3 linked regions of the Macaca fascicularis genome follow. The protein of the gene in region 2 interacts with the protein of the main gene of each other region in a biochemical or structural test. Links are inferred from orthologs where the notes say so. Each region holds a gene or a part of one and is shown on either strand. Other genes may lie near its edges.

Region 1 (6,909 bases), on a different chromosome or scaffold from region 2:
AGCTGAGATCCGGCCACCACACTCCAGCCTGGGTGACAGAGGGAGACTCCGTCTCAAATAAAAAAACAAAAAGAAAAAAAAAAGAATCTGCCTGCAGTGCCAGGCAGGCCCTGCTGTCCAGGAGTCTGGATGTCTCCCTCTGTAGATCACGAAGAAACTGGCCGAGAGGCCACGGGATGGCACTGCCTCCAGTCACAAGGCAGAATCCAGACCTCAGCCCACAGCTAACCAGAGCTGTCTGCAGACCAGATATGGCCCCATGGATCCCCCACCCCAACTGACTGTGATTCCAGGTTCCCCAGTCTGGGTGAATAGGCAGGAATCCCAGCCTTTCCTCAGCCTATGGGAGCCTGGGCCAGGCTGACCCTCAAAGGTGACCGACAGCCACCACTCCATATGGTGAAGGCAAAGGTGTGGCAGCTACGAACACCCACTACACCCCCACTCAAGGGAACACCATGCTAAAAGTTGACCCTCAGTGAGTTCCACTCCCAGAAAATCCAGGTGCCAACCAACCCCAATGAGAAATGGCACCTGGGCCACCAGACACCCCAAAACAGCGTTTTCCACCTCAAGCATTTTCCTCAAGCGTTTTCCACCTCAAACCATTTCCACCTCAAGCATATGCACTGAGTACCAGAGAAACTAGGGTACCTGGGAATGGGTGGAAGGGCCAGGCCAGGAACTCCCCAGTATGCAGAAACAGAGACCTGAATCCTGAATCTTCCCCCACCCTCTAAGGCTGCTCAATGTCAAGGCGGAAGGGACCTTGGCCCACCTCCACTCTAGGTAAGGACAAGTTGGCCCCCACCACCCCACCCTTCAGGGATCACCCTCCACTGCCCACAACCCAGTCACGCCACAAAGTCACTCTTGGCCTCATTTGTAAGGTGTGCACTTTTATTCAACTGGTCTCAAGTCAGTGTACAGGTAAGCCCTGGCTGCCTCCACCCACTCCCAGGGAGACCAAAAGCCTTCAGACATCTCAAGTTGGGGGACAAAAAGAGGGGGCATGAAGGCTCATTATTCAAAATAAAACAAAATAAAAAAGTATTAAGGCGAAGATTAAAAAAATTTTGCATTACATAATTTACACGAAAGCAATGCTATCACCTCCCCTGTGTGGACTCGGGAGAGGACTGGGCCATTCTCCTTAGAGAGAAGTGGGGTGGCTTTTAGGAGGGCAAGGGACTTCCTGTAACAATGCATCTCATATTTGGAATGACTATTAAAAAAAAGAACAATGTACAATCAAAGTCCTCGGCCACATTGTAGAACTTTGGGGGATGCTCGCTCCAACCGACTGCTGTCACCTTCACCGTTCCAGTTTTTAAATCCTGAGTCAAGCCAAAAAAAAAAACCAAAACAAAACAAAAAAAACAAATAAAGCCATGCCAATCTCATCTTGTTTTCTGCGCAAGTTAGGTTTTGTCAAGAAAGGGTGTAACGCAACTAAGTCACAGTCCGCCTAGAAGCATTTGCGGTGGACGATGGAAGGGCCAGACTCGTCATACTCCTGCTTGCTGATCCACATCTGCTGGAAGGTGGACAGCGAGGCCAGGATGGAGCCGCCGATCCACACAGAGTACTTGCGCTCAGGAGGAGCAATGATCTGAGGAAGGAAGGGAACAAACAGGCAGTGAGAACCCCGGATGTGACAGCTCCCCACACACCACAGGGCCCCACGGCCCACCTGCCCAGGTCAGCTCAGGGTGGAAGGACACCCACCTTGATCTTCATCGTGCTGGGCGCCAGGGCAGTAATCTCCTTCTGCATCCTGTCAGCAATGCCAGGGTACATGGTGGTGCCACCAGACAGCACTGTGTTGGCGTACAGGTCTTTACGGATGTCCACGTCACACTTCATGATGGAGTTGAAGGTAGTTTCGTGGATGCCACAGGACTCCATGCCTGAGGAAGAAATGAGGGCGGACTTAGCTTCCAAAGCACAGCCCCAAGGGTGACCCTCAGGTCAGGCAGGGCCGGGAGGCGGGTCTCCACTCACCCAGGAAGGAAGGTTGGAAGAGAGCCTCAGGGCAGCGGAACCGCTCGTTGCCAATGGTGATGACCTGGCCATCGGGCAGCTCGTAGCTCTTCTCCAGGGAGGAGCTGGAAGCCGCTGTGGCCATCTCCTGCTCGAAGTCTAGGGCGACATAGCACAGCTTCTCCTTAATGTCACGCACGATTTCCCGCTCGGCCGTGGTGGTGAAGCTGTAGCCGCGCTCAGTGAGGATCTTCATGAGGTAGTCAGTCAGGTCCCGGCCAGCCAGGTCCAGACGCAGGATGGCATGGGGGAGGGCATACCCCTCGTAGATGGGCACAGTGTGGGTGACCCCGTCACCGGAGTCCATCACGATGCCAGTGGTACGGCCAGAGGCGTACAGGGACAGCACAGCCTGGATGGCCACGTACATGGCTGGGGTGTTGAAGGTCTCAAACATGATCTGTAAGGAAGAAATGCACCATGTCATACTCAGGAAGCTACTGGGACAGCCAGGCCAGATGGGGGACATGCAGGAAGTGCAAAGAACACTGCTAAGTGTGCTGGGGTCTTGGGATGGGGATTCTGTTCAGACCTACTGTGCACCTACTGAATACACACTCCAAGGCCGCTTTACACCAGCCTCATGGGCTTGTCACACGAGCCAGTGTTAGTACCTACACCCACAGCACTGTCTGTTTTAGACACCTAGTCAGAGAGGCAAACACCAGAAAAAGAGCTCATCTGGGAAAAAGCAAATAGAACCTGCAGAGTTCCAAAGGAGACTCAGGTCAGAGAAGAGAGTCCTACGGAGAACGGCAGAAGAGAGAACCAGTGAGAAAGGGCGCAGCTCCGGGAGACCAGGAAAGAGGGCGGTGGCCACCACAAGAGGTAGCGGGCCACTTACCTGGGTCATCTTCTCGCGGTTGGCCTTGGGGTTCAGGGGGGCCTCGGTCAGCAGCACGGGGTGCTCCTCAGGAGCCACACGCAGCTCATTGTAGAAGGTGTGGTGCCAGATCTTCTCCATGTCGTCCCAGTTGGTGACGATGCCGTGCTCGATGGGGTACTTCAGGGTGAGAATGCCTCTCTTGCTCTGGGCCTCGTCGCCCACATATGAATCCTTCTGACCCATGCCCACCATCACGCCCTAGGAAAGAAAAAACAAGGCGCCCTAAGCACGGGCGCGGCCCCCACCCCAGAAACCGGGAGACCCCAGTGCAGAGAAAGCGCCCTCGCCTCCCGCCCGCTCCCGGGGCCGCCCCACCCACCCAGCTCCCCTACCTGGTGCCTGGGGCGCCCCACGATGGAGGGGAAGACGGCCCGGGGGGCATCGTCGCCCGCGAAGCCGGCCTTGCACATGCCGGAGCCATTGTCGACAACGAGCGCGGCGATATCATCATCCATGGCGAGCTGCGGGAAAGCCGGGCGCGCTGTGAGCCGAGGTGGCCCCCGCCCTGCCCACTTCCGGCGCGCCGAGGCCTTAGGCCGCCAGGGGGCGCAGGCGCGCGCCCAGATTGGGGACAAAGGAAGCCGGGCCGGCCGCGTTATTACCATAAAAGGCAAACACTGGTCGGAGGCGTCCCCACCGCGCGCGGCAGGAAGCCAGGCCCCCACCCCCTCCCAACCGGGAGCCGGCCCCGCCTCCGCTCCGTTCAAATAGCGCCGGGTCGGCGCGCGCGCGCGCGCGGCGGCCACACCCTCAGGCGGCCGGCGGCGCGGGCAGGAAGTGCGCGCAAGCGCCCTGGAGCCTCCGCGACCCCACCCCTTCCGGCGGGGCCAGCCCTTGCCCCAGCCCAGGCCGCGGCACCCGGGCCCCAGAACGCACGCGCAGTTAGCGCCTTGAGTCCCAGCGCGCACGCGCAACTAGCGCCGATTCCCAGCGCGCACGCAGAGTTAGCGCCCCAAGCCCCAGGACGCACGCGCAATGGCGCCCCAGCCCCCCACCGAGCCTGGCGGGGGGGCTCCGCCGCGCCCACCCTGCAGTTCCCACTGGCAAGAAGCCGGCTCGGACAAAGACCCCGCCGGCTGCCCCCATCCCGAGAGCAGCACCCCCAGAGCGCGCCTCCCGAGCAGGGCCCGCGCCTCCAAACTGGAGCGGGGTGTCCCCACATCTCTGGAGGCCCAGGGGCTTCTCCCGCGTCCCCCACTGCAGTCCAGTCCCCACATGCGACCCCCGCTGCGGCGCAGGCGGCTCTACACAGGCGAAGGGGCCGCGGCCTTAGGCAGCCGAGCCGGGAGCCGCCTACCAGGGTCGGCTGGCCGGGCTTACCTGGCGGCGGGTGTGAACGGGCGGCGGAGCGGCAAAGGCGAGGCTCTGTGCTCGCGGGGCGGACGCGGTCTCGGCGGTGGAGGCGCGTCGCGCCGCCGGGTTTTATAGGGCGCCGCCGCGGCCGCTCGAGCCATAAAAGGCAACTTTCGGAACGGCGCGCGCTGATTGGCCCCGCGCCGCTCACTCACCGGCCTCGCCGCACAGTGCAGCATTTTTTTACCCCCTCTCCCCTCCTTTTGCGAAAAAAAAAAAAGAGCGAGAGCGAGATTGAGGAAGAGGAGGAGGGAGAGTTTTGGCGTTGGCCGCCTTGGGGTGCTGGGCCCGGGGGTTGGGGGCGCGCGCGGTGGCCCCCGCACCCCACGCTGGGCAGTGCCCGGTTCGGCCCCGCATGGCCAGGCCTGTCCCCGGCCTGCCCGTCTCTCGGGCCCCCCACCCACCGCGGGACATTCTAGGTGTGGACGTCTCTTGGGCACTGAGCGCCCAGGTGGGGTGGGCCAGGGTCTGCACGGGTGCCAGGGTCCTGGGTGCTGTGCGCTCCTGCAGAAGGAGCCCTTGAAGGGCATGGAGTGGCCAGGCAGTCACTCCCCCTTGCCGACTTCAGAGCAACTGCCCTGAAAGCAGGTCTCGGGACCTCTGGCTATTATGGGGCTCAGCTAGCTAAATGGGCTGGGTGGGTCACTAGGGAGAGACTTGGGCTTGAGAGGTAGAGTGTGGTGTTGGGGGAGTCAGGGGGCTCGCGGCCACTTAGAAGTCGCAGGACCACACTGCCCAGGACAGGGCAGGCGCCAGCGGTCCAGTGGCTTGAGGTGGCCTGTGATGAAAGCTGCAAACCCACCCAGCCACGGCCCTGGGAAGGTGGGCTCTACGGGGCAGGGAAAGTTTCCCCAGGAGCTGCTGCTTCTGAGGGTAACGCGGTCACGCCCAGCCAAGACCAGGCCTGGGGCGTTAGTGGGTGACCCAGGCAGCTCCAGGCACTGCGGGGTGTGGGGGCTGGGTCTACACAGCCTGGGTCTGCGCCCACCGTTCATTGCATGTCTGCTATGCGCAGCCACAGCTGAACTGCCCTCCCAGACCATCTGGAGGCCGCGGGGGGACTCTGGGGACCAAGACACCATGTGCCAGAGAGGATTGGGGGCGGGGTGGGGTAGGAGCTCAAAGCCAGCCTGGGAAGACCCTCTCCTTGTCACCCTTTCTTGCCTCGGGTCTGTCCACTCAGTAGCACACAAGACCCGGGTGGCTAGGGTCGTTCTGCTCTGGGAATCAGAGACTGTATGTACCCAGCTGGTGGACATGCAGTGATCAGTGGCGTGGGACCACAGAGGGGCATTCAGCTCAACCTAGAGGAACATGCCCTTCTCCTCCCCCTCCTTGGAGGTGGTGACAAGAAGCTGGATTTTTACACAAAAATAGGAAGGGTGGTGAGGTGGGGGCATGTCAGGCCTTCAGGGGGCTTTGCAGCACGTAGTAGGTGTTCGTTGAGTGTGTGTTGCAACAGGCAAAGATGAGTCCATATAAGGACGTGGAACCTGTGGCCTTGTTCCAGTTCACGGTACAAGGCTGTGCTCAGTCAGTGGGACCCACTCCTCCCTCGAAGGTTGCAGAGGCCACAGCCTGGTGGGAAAGATGACCACCACCCAGCACACAGTGGCAGACACAGGTTCACAGTCCAGAAGGCTTGCTAGGCCTCCTCCATCACCACCCCACGCAAGGGCAAACTTTCCCAGCCTGTATACTCCCTGCCTCCTGGGGATGGGACTGTCCTGTGCCTGGCCTTGTATCTTTCAGCTGCAGGCGTCTTGCCACCTGCCTAAGGACCTGCCAACCCTACAGTTCACCGGGCCGGCGTTGTGGGGCGATGGGCGGGGGGGACCTTTTTGCTGCCTGTTGATGAGGGCTGGTTCTGGGGGTTCCTCAAAGGTTGAACTGGGTGGAGTGCTGTGGGAGGTGGGGATGGGACCGGATCTGCAGAGCAAGGATGGGAGGCTGTTGGGTGGGCGGCTCCAGGCAACAAGGTAGGGTGCAGAGCAGACCTGATCCCCAGGCAGGACCTGTGCTGCCACTGGGCCTCTACTCAGCTGGCCAAGAGACAGAAGCTCCAGCCCCACCCCACCCCAGGCTGCAGCCTTCCTGGCCTGTCCTCCTGGCTTGTGGTTCCCTCTGTCTGCAGCGGCCACTTCTTGGTGCTCTCCTATGCACCCTTCAAGTCCCATCCCAGAAAGTCCGTCTTTAGGGAAACCTTTTAGCCTCTGCAACCATGCCTTCCTCCCTACCTCAGACCAAGGCTTGCAGCTGGCATTTAGAACTGGGCCTCACCCACCAGGCTGCGAGCCCTCCCAGGGTCTCCATCACCCCCACTCCTTCCCACCACACCCACCCCAGGGCTCCTCGCTGTTGAATGAGTGACTGCCTGGATGTCCTCAGATGGCAGGTTGGAGGTGGCCAAGCAGCCTGGGGTGAGGGGCAGGGAGGAGCTGAAGAGAGAAAGCAAGCAGCGGAGCAGGAAAAGAGGAAGTAGAACTGGCTGGCCAGGGGGCGGGCTGAGCAGGGGAGAAGTGAATAGGTTCTCTTCTGCGCTTGGGAACTTTGCCCTGGAAGGGAGTTTTCGGAGCTGTCACTTGGGTATGCACGCATTCCCCAGAGAACCCTCGGTTGAACTCAGC
Region 2 (6,846 bases):
CCCTGGCTGACTCAGACCCGGAAGACCTGCCCCATTTGCAAGCAGCCTGTTCATCGTGGTCCTGGGGACGAAGAGCAAGAGGAAGAAGCTCAGGGGCAAGAGGAGGGTGAAGAAGGGGAGCCAAGGGACCACCCTGCTTCCGAAAGGACCCCACTTTTGGGTTCTAGCCCCACTCTTCCCACCTCATTTGGTTCCCTAGCCCCAGCTCCCCTTGTTTTTCCTGGGCCTTCAACAGATCCCCCACCCTCTCCTCCCTCTTCCCCCGTCATCCTGGTCTAATAACCCTCTACATGTACACTTCTGGTGACCTATTTGCACAGACCGTCTTCTTCCCTCCAGTCTTCTAAGTTGAGGGATAGGGGACATTCCATCCTAAGTTGCTCCCTTACCCACACCTATCCTTTTGAGGGGCATTGGGGTGGGGCTGGGGCAAGCAAAGGGACTGGGTCTTCACTTCTTGGGCTAATAAAATTGTTTTTTGTGGACTAAGGAAGGGTGAGATAATTTTTAGGTGAACTTAACCCTTTGGGGGAATCACCCCTTTAGCCATAAGGAGCAAGAGAATGCTGAGACACTAACCTATAGTCATGGGGACAGCCCCAGCAGGCATTTGCTATGACTCAGGGGGAGCCCCACCCACAAGGATGACTCAACTAGCCCTGCCTTGCCTGCAGGCCTGCACCCATTCTCTGGTCCAGATGGCTCTATTCCATTATCCACCAATTTAACCAGCACACTGAGGACTTAGGCCTGGAAATGCCACTGTGGAGGGGCAGGGCCACCTGGCCAGAAGCTCAAATTCTTGCACCTTGTAGTACCTCAACCTTCCTGCTCCCAAGCCATGATAAAGGAGGCAAGTCACAGTGCCTGTCCCCCATTCTGACACCCAAGCTCAAATCACACAGCACCTTGTTAGAATCTTTTTTATTCAGAAAAAAAAAAAAAAAACCCAAAAAACAAAAAAGTTTTCCAACCACACACAGGAGGGGTATGGGTAGGGGGAGTTGTCTGTCCATCCAGCCCTGGTCCCCAGCCCATGTGGTTTTGGCAGCAATAAGGGGTATGGGGTAATGGCCTAAAAAATAAAATGGTGTATGTGTGTATGGGGGAGGAAAGGGGTGCAAAGCTGTGGGGAGCGGTGAAGGGGAAGGGACAGACGAGGTCAGTACTGGGAGCGCCGAAGGTGGGAGGCCATTTCATAACATTTCTTGTTGATCAAACCACCGTGGACACCTTCTTTGCCCATCAGCAGGACTAGCGCTGGAGGAGGAAAGAGAAAGGAGGCTAGGACCCAGGTGTCACAATTCCACCCCCTGCCAGCTGTTCAGCAGCTGTCCAGCCCTGGGGGCTGTAACCCAACCTCATCTCTCCCAACCCCCCCCAACACACACACACAGGCAGGCTGTCAGTCACCCTGAAACAATAAGGCTTTTCAAAAGAGGAAAATCAAGCTTAAATGCTGGAGAGGAACAGACTAAAAACTTAGGGGTCAAAGGCTCATAGACTGTTGACTCGTGTTCAGGCTAGAAAGGGCTGTGGATGAGCATGCCACCTCCAGGTTCTAACAAAAGAGCTCAAACGATTAACTAGATGATGATTCAGGACCCCAAGAATCTACCTATACTCCTAGAAAACAGTTTCTAATCCGAGCTCAAGGCAGGAAGTAACTTAAGAGGTAATGCAGTTCAACAACTTCGAATTACAAGATGAGGAACTGAGACGGAAATGGAGGGACTATCCCATGTTCCATCCAGCATCCAGCAGACAAGGGGCAGAATACTGGTCTGACTGCCTTCATGCTGGGGAATCACACAAGAAAGCACCCTCAAGATTACCAGAAGGCGGTACATGAGAGATCTTGACGCTAGAGGAATGGTAAGACTCAGGAACTCACTCTTGTCAGTCTTGGTGACAGTGACATTGAAGGTGGGGGCCCCACCGGTGCTCTTGGTACGAAGATCCATGCTAAACTCCCCATCCTGCAGCAGTGAGTCCCGGATCACCGAACATTTCTGGCCCCCAAGTGTCAGCCCATTGACGTAAAAACTTGACCGGTCTTTGCCAACCAGGACACCCACCTCAGCTGGCTGGAAGAGGAACCAAGCGCCCATCAAGTTAGTCAGTGCACCAAGATTCCCACCTTGTTCTCCAAAGACCCACCCCGCGAAGTTATATACTCAGTACCCATCAATAAACTGTGAGAAACTCTGAGGACTGTGGAACGTTAGTGCAGAAAACGATCATGATTCTCAAACCTAGAATATGGGACTAGGGAGGAAGAGATGATATACTCCTCTAGAGATTTAGATCTCAGTGTTAATGGGGGAAAGTAAACCCAGGAAATAAAGGGAATCAGTGATAAAAGTGAGGAGTCTTTGGATGCTCAGAACTCTCCTTCAGGAAAAGCAGAAGCGGAGAGGGGAAGGGAGGGGGGCGGGCGAGGCAAGAGAAGCAACTTTGCCCTTATTTGGTCAAAGGTTCTGCAGGAGCTCTTAGGGCCCGGACGCCTGGGTCTCCAAGTAACCTAGTTTAGCTCCAGGTATGTCTGCCCTGACAAGAGGAAGCAGACCCCTGGGGGCTTTCCGGGAAAGTTGGAAAACTTCTGAAGGTGGACGGGGGCTAGACCCGGCAAGTCAGCTCTCGGGTCTAGGTACCCCAGGAACCTTTTCCCCCCTCCCCCTTTCACCCCAAGCCCCCACATCCGGTTCCCTCCCGCCCGGAAACCCCCTTCCCCCCCTTTCGAACTTCCGCTCCCCCTCCCCACTTCCGGGCAGTGTGGACAGGGAGATGGTGGTGGGAGCAGCGGTAGTCAACTCATATTCTTTCGCTTATGCTGTCTCAGAACTTCTCACAAAGTTCCCCTGCTCCAGGCCCCGCCGGATGGCGGGAAGGGAGGGCGAGGGGACTTCCGGGATTGGCCTCGCAGGAATGTTGAGTCCAACGTGCTGAGCTGGGGGGGCGTGTGGTGGCCTCGCCCTCTCTAACGGAGTTGGGAGGGGCCGGGAGTCCACAGAGGGTGGGCAAGGGACCAATACCACGCGCCTGGGGCTCCCTCCCGCACCAGGGGAAACAATGGTAGAGGGGCGCGAGCTGGCGGCCGGACGGGGAGCTGGGGATTCGAGGGTCCCCGGGTCACCTCTCAATCCCAATCCCCAATTAAAATTGAGGCGCGTCCCCACCCCGCCCTGGGAGAGGCGGAAGTGGGCCGCCGCACCGGGCGCCGCGCCCCTCCCCGCCCTGTGCCCCGGATGTAACGCCCCGTCGCGGAAAGCGGGGTAGCGGGCGGGATGGGCGCCGCCGCCTGGGGCATACGACTTAGGAGCAACCGAGGGACCCGCTCACGTGCAGCCGCCATTCGCGCCGCTTCCAGGACAAGCACCCAGTCAGGGCCTCTCGCTGCGCGCTCTAGACCGCGCCCGCCCCCACCCAAGTCCCTCCCACAGGGTCCAAGCCCGACCAGTGCCCCGGACCGCAGGCCTCGCAGTACCGTGATGTTGACGAAGGTTTTCCCGGGGACGGCGGCCCAGACGGAGGGCGAGTCCTTGTAACCCACGATGGCCGCGTCCTGACAGGTCCCGTCCGCCATGAGGTTGTCGATGTAGGCGTTCCACCCGGCCATGGCGCTGCTACTGGGGCTGCTCTCGGCGCTGCTGCTGGGGCCGCGGGCTGGGCACGAGCTGCCTCGGCTGGCGGGCGGGGGGAGGCGGAGAGCTCGAGACACGCGCTGCCGTCCGGACCGCGGCTCTGCTCGCTGTGCAGCAGCCCTCGCACCGCCACTTCCTGCTCCTCCCCCCCGCCCCGCTAGATTTTTATTTGCAAAGGACGGTAGGGGCGGGGCCTACTCCCCATTCCCTCCCTCCCCCACTCGCCAGCCCAGACACCGAAGTTTGCAAATGCAATTTTAAAAATCCCTCCCCCTATTGCAAAATTTGCAGAGTTCGATGGAAAGCAATGTAGAAAGATGGGGGGTGGCGGCAGAGAGGTGAAGGGTAGGGTTTGCTCCAATTTGCATTGAATATAAACCAGACTTTGCTATCGGGGCAGGGAGTGAGCCAGAAGGAAGGAAGGGAAGAGAAAGGAGGAAGAATTAGCAAGCCGCAAATTTAGCAAATTAAGGAGAGTTCGGGGAGTCCAGGGTTAAACGGGATGACTCCTCCTTCCCCCACCTCCGCCGAAGGGAAGGACCGGCGGGCGGCGGCGCGTGTGCCCGCGCCTGCGCCTGCGCCAAGGCCGGGAGGGAGAGCGCATGGGGCGGTCCGGGCCGGAGCCGGCTGCACGGGAGCGCGCCCGACCCGACCCCTGTGGACCCTCCGGGAAAGGAAGGCGGGCTGGGGACGTGTCTCCCGCCTGGCGGAAAGGGCGGGGGCGAAGCCGTGCACGCTGCCGCCTCACCACCCTTGATTTTACTTATTCAATAGGAAAGCAAAGGGAGTTTGGCCAAATACCCTAGTCGCTCTCATAGCTGAAGGCACCCACCGGGGCCACTTCGGTCCCCAGCGTCTTCCCGGGTAGTGCAGGTTAGGTTCACCAGGGCCCATTCTCAGTCCAGAGGATTGTCCCTTCTCTGGATCGGCTCTAGCCCAGGGCCTTATCCCATATCCCAGCCGCGCCCGCCCCGGGCAGGCAATGTCTGGATCACCGGCCGTGCCCCTTGGCCTGAGTCTGCAGAGGTCACTGAGCGCGGACACCCGCGGGGCTTAACAGGCGGGGCTATTTTTCGAGGCGGAAGAATACTCAAGTTGCAAGAGTGGCAACTTTTTCAAGAAGGGGAAAGTCCCACTTCGGGCCCTTTGGGTTTCTTCTCAGTCAGATGTGCGCTCGCCGCCACCTGGGGAGGGCGGGGCGGCCGGGTGGCGGCCGAGGTGAAGCCGTCTTCTCCGACCCGCCGCCGAGGGCTGGGCCGCTTCCGGAGCCTGGGTTAGGGGCGCGAGGTCACGGAGCGCGGCCCGGGCGGAAAGGGGCTTGGTTTTCTCTCTCCTCCTCCCGAGTGCGGCGCGCATCCCTGGCGTCCACGCCGAACCCCACAGTCCCCGACGCCCCTCGAGCCCGTGTTCCTCGACAGCCGCGCGGCTGAGTCACTGGCGGGCTCGGGCGGGGCCGCACCCGGGCACGTGGCGGCGCTCCCCGCCCGCCATCTCCTGACCCCTGACCCGCCGCACCCCCACCCCAGGGTGGAAAAATCCCGGGAGGAGCGGCCTGAGATGAGAGGGCGGGGCAAGATGGGAGACGGGACGGGTGGCGGGCCAGGTGGCTTGAGGTGGGGGCTGGGAGGCCGCGCTGGCCGGCGGGGCGGGGAGCAGGGGTGGGGAGAGGGAGGCGGGGGTGAGTCACCGGGCGCGGGCTGCCCCGGCGCCGGCGGGAAGGGCCTCCGAGTCGAGCCCCGTGACCCCAGCCGTTCGGCTGGCATGGCTGCAGAGGAGCTCGGGGCAGACCCCGCACTGGCCCCAGAGCTGGCAAGGTGGAGATCTCTACCGAGAGCAGAGACCCACCTCCCCGCAGTGCTACGGCGGGGCGCCGGAGGAGCCCCAGGCGTGCAGAAGCTCACAAAGGGCCACCCGTCCTCGGTCCATTCATTTTTGTTCACTGTTGATTCAACCCCATTCATTGATGGGCTGGGGCCGTGCGCTGAGCGCCCACAGTCGGTGGGGAGAAGGGCTCTGACCAATAGTCCCCATGCCGGGCGACAAGTGCTGTCCCAGCGTTATCAATCGGGCGCCGCGCCAGCCGAGAGGGCCCGTCTAAATTTGTCTCCTGGCCCCTAATTCATCCCCACCCTGGCTGGCCTGGAGAGGGTAGGATGGGGCGTCGCCGATAATGGCCGTTATGAGGACCCTAAGAGGTGAGACTCTCTCGCCTTCTGGGGTGGGGGGGTTCAATTTTAGACGTCAGAGCTTGCCCAGAAGTCCCCTCCCTTCCCCCACTGAGGGCAGAGGCCCGCCCAGCGATCTGAGCATGTGTGGATGTCAATCCTGCAGCCCCTCTTCCAGGCCCCCTCCCCAGCCTTGCAGGGCTCAGGTTACCCCTGGCCTTTCCTAAAGGTCACACATTCCTCTTGACGTTTGCAAAAGGGGAATGTAATCCTGGGGTGGGGGAGACCCCTCATCTGAAGCCCCTCCCCCGCTCCTCCCAAAGGGGAATTAAAACTGGGACTGTTACTGGGGGACGGAAAGAAAGTGGGGGATAGTAGTTGACCTTTGGTAAGGGGGCAGGTGCCCAGGGCCAGAGGCTTCTGCTTTAGGCTGTAGTGGGCACTTGGCTGCCAGCCCAGTGTGAAGGGGGGAGGATGGAGAGAGAGAGAGGCGGGGCTGGCTGGGGACCCAGTGGCTCAGGGATAAATGCGCAGCCCGAGAGGGGGTGAGCTGACACTGTCCCAGCTGCCACCTAGACTCGGAGCTCCATCCAAACCTCCAACGAAGACATCCCAGGTCAGCTAAATCTTCCAGCCCCCGGGGTGGACGTAGTAAAGGGTGCGCATGGTGTTGAGTTGGAGGAAGTGGGGGACGTTTCTGCTTTTTTTTCTCCTGGGACTGGAGGTGCTTGAAAAAGCTGGGGGAAGGGGCGGCTGGAGCAAGCAGATGGGACAAACTCTGGGAGCACCCAAGGATCTAGGGAAAGGAGGCTGTGAGGAGGGGCAGTAAGGATGGATAGAGAAGGGCAGCTAGAGTTGGAACCTGGTAGGGAACTGGGGGCCCAAGAGGATTTCGGAGCAGGAAAATGAGAACCAGAAAGGATTTGAAGGCCACCAGCCGTGGAGAACAGACTGCTTGACCAGAGGGTGGAAGGAGAAGGCCTAAGTGCAGCCTTGGGGGAGGTGGGGGCTTGGGGAGTGATGGCATCCTAGGAGCC
Region 3 (6,850 bases), on a different chromosome or scaffold from region 2:
TAGTTCTCCCTTCATAATACTACCAGCTAATGAATGGCATCAGAACTATTTATGTAAAAGTACATATCATGTATTTACATATCACAATGAAATCTCAACTTTCACAAAATGAATTTTGTGGTAAAACAAAAGATTTACTGATGATTTGCCTCCTCCATGAAGCCAATCACCAATCCAGAGTCTCATTAACATTTAGGCATATTTGCAGTGAATGAAAATAAAAATATGTTTCTTTCTGCTGGTGGTTATAATGCCTGCCTTTATTGAAACTCCCTTCCCTCACCTTCTATATATAACTGGGACTAATTTCTGCTGGAGACTTTAATTGTTCTTGAATTCCCAAAGTACTCTCTTAATTTAGGCCCTCATCATATTTCACCTGCACTACTATAAAACAACTATCTGATTTCCCTTGTCTTTCCCTCACAATCCTCAATCCACGTTCTATACTGCCTCCACCTTTCCCCTGAAAATTTTCTAAGTCAAATATGATCTTGTGAGTCCCCCTTAAAGAGTGCAATACTTCCTCAACTGTATCTCCTTCTTAGTTGTGAAATGTACACTGATATCTTAAGCGGTCAGAGAAATGCTGTACTAAAAGAATTTGATTTAACTTAATTGAGCTTCAATTTGCAAAATATAGACCAAAAACTGAAGAAAAATCTATTAAGATTTCCAATGTGCTCAAGGATTATCCTATCAGACGTGGTCTTCAGCAGTGGTTTTCAAACTGTGATATACTTTAAAATCTTCTGTTAAGTTTGTTAAAAATAGACATGTCCAAGCTTCACCTCATATCCAGTGATTCTGAATATTATCTAGGAATTGGGTCTAGGCATATGCATTTCTCATAATCTCCACAATGATTCCAATGCATACCTAAATCTGAGAGCCCAAGCAGAAGCCCTCCTTGCTCCCTAAGAAATCTAATAAACTTATTAGTAGGTCTCCTAACTTTTCAAGTTGTTTCATACCTCTCATCAGCCTAGGGAGCACCTGTTTAGATATAAATATTCAGTTATCCATTTTAACAAGCTTTTACTCAACCTCTCTCCCCCCATTCTCTCCTTTAATCCCCTAAACCTGTATAAAAATAGTTTCCATATATTTACACACAGTCTTAATCCACACAACTACCCATGAGATAGTATCTTTGTTTTACACATGAGAAAACCAAATCTAGGATAGGAAGCTTAAGAAACTTACCCAAAGTGACCCCCAGTTTGAACCCATATTTGCTATTACAAAGCCAAGACATTTTCTATTGTGAAAAGTAGCCTCTTACACATCACTCTGAAGCACTGACTTATTTATCAGTTTACACGTTTCCCTTTTTAGACCTAGTAAGCTCCCTGAGGACAAGTTTCAGCCCTTCTAGATTTTGACCTCAACATTTAATCAATGCATGTTTGTTGAATGAAAGAAGATATGAAGCTCCTTCAGAGCTAAGACTGTAACTGCTTCTGTTTCATTTCTTGAATTCTTAAATAGAGCTCTGAGTACTCTTCTGCCTAACACATTTGGTCTGACCTGTAAATCTTACTGCTGGATTTATTATGAGACAATGTATTTCGGTAATGTTTTAAAAGACAAAAAAAACCCTGCATAATCAGCAAAGGGAGAAAAAGATTATTTCAAAAATTAAAATATCACTCTTAACTCTCTATTAACTAGGGACTTCAATTTTTGAAATTAGTGTATGCAACGACTTATCCCACAGAAGCAGGCAACTGACACAGTGTGGTTTTTAAATGACAGAAATGCAAAAGGTAAAGTTAATTAATAAAAGATGGCGTAAAGAAATTAAGCACTGAATACTGACAGCCTATTCAGCAATCCACTTACACTAACCAACGTGCAACATCATTTTTCCCTATCACAGTATTTTTCCCCATCTGCCATTTTTTGAAACCAGTAAAACTATAGGTAAGCACAGGACAATTACTATACTTGTGTATAAATGTAATGTTCTTTCTGCGTAAAGTTAATGTGTGTGGTATGTAGAACACAGTATGACTACTTCCTTTTTGATACAGGTTACACAGCTAATCTACTAAACCAACAACTGAATTTTTTTTTCATTGGAGGTAACTAACATTCAAAGTGCTGGAGATTTTCCTAAACTGAACATATGCAAACATTAGTGGTGCTTTAAGAATCTTGTATTTTAATTAGTTTTTGGTGAAAAAGGCAAAGTGGTTATTCCTTTAACACCACTTTTGGAAATAAATCGGTAACAAGAAAAAAAAAAAACACCCTTCTAAAACAACATGATGTAGTGGAAAGTACCAAGGGATAGGACGAGGCATGAGGAGTCCCGGTTTTCTGGTTCTGGTTACATCGTTAAACTGTTGTATGACTTGGGCTCACTGGATCAGTTTTCTCATTTGTTGAAAAAAGTGTGTGAATGGGGAGGGGCTTAAAGTTGTTACCCAAAATTCTCGTTTTGAGCCACTCCTCTCGTTTCATCCTTCTAATCACGAAACTCAATGTTCTCTAAGGTCTAAGTTCCGAAATTTGAAACACATCTGAAATTGAATGGAACGATTCAATCTCCAACCGGATGGCACAAGATACAAAGGGTGGACTCCTACGACGTTAACAATTAATCCAAGAACTTTCCAGAAATTGTCTAACCCTAACTTCGTAAAGAAGCAGGTGAAATCTGGTTTGGCATACCTAACATTAAAGGAGTTATAAAATGGTATTGCTCTGTTGAAATTTCCGTGTTTTCTGGATTCCAGTGGCACATACTCTGCAGGTGCTAGCAAACAAAGTGGAGAGAAAGAGACCCAGCCAGGATTTCAACAAACCACACTTCAACCCAGCACCGCAGCATGATTCCGACAAGGCCTATACCACAGAGCAGAACCTCCCCACCCCCAGAAGTGCCAGCAGCCAATGTAACGAATGCTTCCGTCAACAACACACATTCCCCTTCCCACAGCAGAACTGCTCGCTCCCAACCGGCCATCTGGGGTTGGAATTGGCCGCACAGCACCAAACTAAGAATCATTCTCGGCCCCAAAAACCAAGAACTACCAGAGATTGAGGTTTCCCTGCGCATGGCTGCGGGGAGAGCAGCACCCCCTCCCACCAATGGGGGAAAAAATCAGTGGGAAGGAAAGTAGAAACCAGGCCTAGACAAGGTTGCTGGAGAAATCAATCTTGTTTCTCTTTAACGAAGAGCAGTAACATTTTTTTTTATCCTCTCTAATCTGAAGAGAGCCCAGGCTCTTGCACTCGACTTCATTCCCTCCTGGAATCCTAATGGGAGAGTGAAAACCACCTTCCTTCCCCGACCTATCCACTCCTCAAACCTGGCATTGTTAAGGAAGGTACCCCCAGATCCAGCAGGAGGAGGTGACGCGAGAGCTAGAGCAAGGGCCCAGATTCTGGGACCAAGCGACTCTTACAAGAAAATCCCCTTGCGGCCTGAGAGTAAAGTTTTAACCAGCAGCCAGGGCGCGGACCGAGGCCCGGCCAGGCTGGAGGACAGGCCTGCGGAGGTGACACTCCCTTGTTCCCCAAAGCTCGGGGAGGCGGCGCCCGACCGCCACAGCCCGCACCCAGGGAGCAGGGCGAGGGCGCCGACGAGGGGCCGGGGCTGGCGGGAGGCCTGGCCGACAAGCGGGACCCTCCCCGCGCCGCTCCCGCCTCCTTCCCCACTCCCACTTCCCGGACCCCAAGTCCGGGCCCGTGAGGTAATGTCAGGGGTGGCGACGCGGTTCTTATCCACTGACCACACATTTCTTGCCGAGGAAAGTGAAGAGGGACTCGTTCTCCTGCGGGGTGAGCAGCAGGGACCCCACGTTGGTGACCCTCCGCGGCGGCGGCGGCTGCTGCTGGACGGAGCTCATGGTTTCGCCGGCAGGGTTGGGAGTCCAGGGCCGTCTCCTCCCGCGAGTGGGCGAGAGCTCGTTACCCCTCTCGGTGACAGGGGCGGGGAGAAGCGGAGTCAGAGGCGCCACATCTCGCAGCTCCTCCGGAGCGCGGAGGAGGAGGAGGTCGAGGGACGCAGGCGCCGACGGCGAACCACCTTCGGGCCGCGCTGAGAAAGGGAAGCTCCCAGCTCCCGCCCGGCCAGGATAGGGCCGGATGGTCGTTGTCCTCGCACTCCAGCGACTGCGCTAAACTCCCAACTCCTCCCCCAACCCTCCCGCAGCGGCGGCGGCGGCGGCGGCCGCACAATCCAACATGGCAGCGGGGACGGGCGAGACCACAGGACGGAGGGCGCGGGGGAGCGCACCGGAAACGCGCGGCCGGGGCCCGGGAGGAACCCCCCCCCACTCGGCGGCGGGCCTCGCCGCGCCGGCCCGAAGCCACGCCCCCTTCCGGCCGAGGCGCGGACCGCGCGGAGCTAAGTGGAATTCCGGTCGGCTCGGGGCGCAGGCTTTCAACTTCGTCCTCTGGCTTCTGGCGTCTCGGCTCGTCGGTTGGGTACCCAGAACCAGCTACTGCTGCTTGAAGAGAAGATGGGTAGGGAGACTCCTCGCCGTCGCTGCGCCGCCGGCCTTCCTTGGGCGGACGCACACCTTTGCGAAGCGTCAGTGAGGACCCAGGGCCTGTCCTTGAAATAGCGCTCATTTCTCAGGCGCGGCAGCGTGACGCTCGCTCTGCGGGTTCGAGAGGCCTGCGATCTGAAGACTGAAAACTGGGGAAGAGGTGCTTTCCCCTATGCTCCTCGCGGGCTTCACTAGGAGCCGCAGGTGCCTGGGATTTTCTCAAACTTTGTCCAAACTTTAACTGTGGGAGTGGAGGAACAAACAGGCCTCTCCCAGAATTGTGAAAGAGATCGCCCTGATGGATGTAACAAAAACAAATGCACTTGACTTCCACCGCCTCCCTGGCGTGTCACGTGGGCTTAATGTATGTGTCATATTTAAATTCAAAGTATTTTCTTTTAAGGGCCCTGGACACATTTTTTTCCCCCTGTATCGTGAATTGGAAAATAGCCCAGGATATTAAAAGTTATCTAAGATAACCCCCTTTGTTCTGTAAGTACTAAACGGCTTAAAATGAAATTTTGGAATCTAGAGACAATGATGCAGACTGCAGTGAGCTATCAAATATGCATGTCACTGTTCACATTAAACATTTTTGTTGCATAAATTCATGTCTGGTAATTGCTTAATTCCAATAAACAAAGAAGTTATATGTTAAACAAGACATCTATAACAGTTACACTTTGGTGAAACTGTTGGATGTTAACATCTCTGATAGCGCCAATAGAAATCTCTGATGTACTAACCAGACTGATAAACCATTATCATGCACTTTGAAAATAATTATAAAGTATTAAAATTAAAGCTGTCCTTAATGAAATAGGCTGAGCAACAATAAATTTACAAAGGAAAATAAGATTGGATAGCCTTGGGAGGTCTCACATAAAATATGGAGATTTCAAAGTTAAACTTGATTAATAATGTTAGGGTAAAAAGTGAATTAAAGCAACAGGACTATTTATAACATAATTAGATTTAGAAAGCATTAGTAGAAATGGAAGCCTGGAGTTGCTTCTGAATTACAGATCTAACAAAGCTAGAAGCTAAATCAGTTTGTCTTTTATCAAAACTGCAACCCCTGTAAGTTGAAAGCACAGTGACAAGAGAAAGCATTACAAATTCTTGAGAAATAGTAGAAATTAAAGCTCTTCTTTTCAAACCTGTGAGCAAGTATAGTGCCAGAAGTTTAAGATTCAGATAGACCCAAGTTGTAGTTCTTGTTATGAATCTTATAACCCAGTGGACTTTGGACAGATTACTTCTCTGCGTCTCAGTTTCCTCATCTGTAAAATGAAAATAATTTCTGTTTCATACAAGTATAGTCTAAATAGGGATAATTACACCTACTTCGAAGTTGTAAAATACAAAATTACAACTAGATAGGAGGTGTAAGCTCTAGTGTTCTGTAGCACTGTAGGATGACTGTAGTTAACAATACTATATAGTTTCAAATAGCTGGAAGGATATTGCATGTTCCCAAAACAAAGACATAATGTTTCTGAGATGATAGATATGCTAATTACCCTGATCTAATCACTATACGTTATATGTATTGCAACATCACTGTGTACCCCCATAAATATGTGCAGTTATTGTCTATTAAAATTTTTTTAAACTAAAATTATAAGACATTAAAAAAAGATATCACATGTAAAGTACCTGATACATAATGATTACTCAAGTATTAGTTGTCGGCCACTGACAGTCCTTGCCTATGGTCTGTTCTGCTTTCCCTGAGCTAAGGGATCAAGACTTAATATATGTATTCTTACCTTTGTTTTAAGTCTGACTCTTCAAAAACTGTACTTCAAATTTACAATTGTACATAATTTTTAAAAAATATAGTGAAGAACTTGATAGCAGAATTTCTGATTAGGCCATATATTATGCCAAATAAGTTACAGATATCCCAGTATGCCAAAATAAAACTTTTTAAAACTGTAAATCCAGAGATAGAATCCTATTAGCTTCTAATTAATAAAAACTGAAAGATTAGCAAATTTTATGTTAGAAATACCAGCTTTTAGAACTTGTAGACCACCAAACTATTTTGAAGACAGGAAAGAGTAGTGAGAGAGGGCTGTGGGGGAAAAAAAAAAGGTCATGTGATGATAGGTGAATGGACAGTAGCTGCCTTGAAGAATCTATCTCATTCTGAGAATCACTGAGTTCCAATCATTTCACAACCTCTTACTAGCCTAGACTATCTATTGTTTTATTGATTTTCTTTTCTTTCAGGAAATTTTATGACTTATCTAAATGCAATTTTTCTTTTACTATTTGACCTTGTTCTGTTTTCTTTAGACTTGGAGATGGAAAATTATGACCACAGTAGACTTTTTTCC

Evidence for each region.
Region 1: the proteins of PFN1 (region 2) and ACTB form a complex in vitro, tested with the Homo sapiens proteins (2 studies listed by BioGRID and IntAct, with this or other methods). The link is inferred for Macaca fascicularis from reciprocal best matches to the Homo sapiens genes PFN1 and ACTB.
Region 3: the proteins of PFN1 (region 2) and WASL form a complex in vitro, tested with the Homo sapiens proteins (2 studies listed by BioGRID). The link is inferred for Macaca fascicularis from reciprocal best matches to the Homo sapiens genes PFN1 and WASL.

The regions. Positions count from the first base shown.
Region 1 is NC_088377.1:45,108,011-45,114,919, forward strand, and holds ACTB (actin, cytoplasmic 1), read right to left. Parts: upstream 4,328-6,909; 5' UTR 4,250-4,327; intron 3,391-4,249; 5' UTR 3,385-3,390; coding exon 3,262-3,384; intron 3,128-3,261; coding exon 2,888-3,127; intron 2,444-2,887; coding exon 2,005-2,443; intron 1,911-2,004; coding exon 1,729-1,910; intron 1,613-1,728; coding exon 1,469-1,612; 3' UTR 883-1,468; downstream 1-882. UniProt on the Homo sapiens protein: Actin is a highly conserved protein that polymerizes to produce filaments that form cross-linked networks in the cytoplasm of cells.
Region 2 is NC_088390.1:5,063,396-5,070,241, forward strand, and holds PFN1 (profilin-1), read right to left. Parts: upstream 3,783-6,846; 5' UTR 3,620-3,782; coding exon 3,488-3,619; intron 2,088-3,487; coding exon 1,686-2,087; 3' UTR 1,671-1,685; downstream 1-1,670. Other genes in the region: E3 ubiquitin-protein ligase RNF167, read left to right, coding at 1-279; ENO3 (beta-enolase), read left to right, coding at 5,815-5,839. UniProt on the Homo sapiens protein: Binds to actin and affects the structure of the cytoskeleton. At high concentrations, profilin prevents the polymerization of actin, whereas it enhances it at low concentrations. By binding to PIP2, it inhibits the formation of IP3 and DG.
Region 3 is NC_088377.1:165,389,971-165,396,820, forward strand, and holds the start of WASL (actin nucleation-promoting factor WASL), read right to left. Parts: upstream 4,229-6,850; 5' UTR 3,861-4,228; coding exon 3,744-3,860; intron 1-3,743. UniProt on the Homo sapiens protein: Regulates actin polymerization by stimulating the actin-nucleating activity of the Arp2/3 complex. Involved in various processes, such as mitosis and cytokinesis, via its role in the regulation of actin polymerization.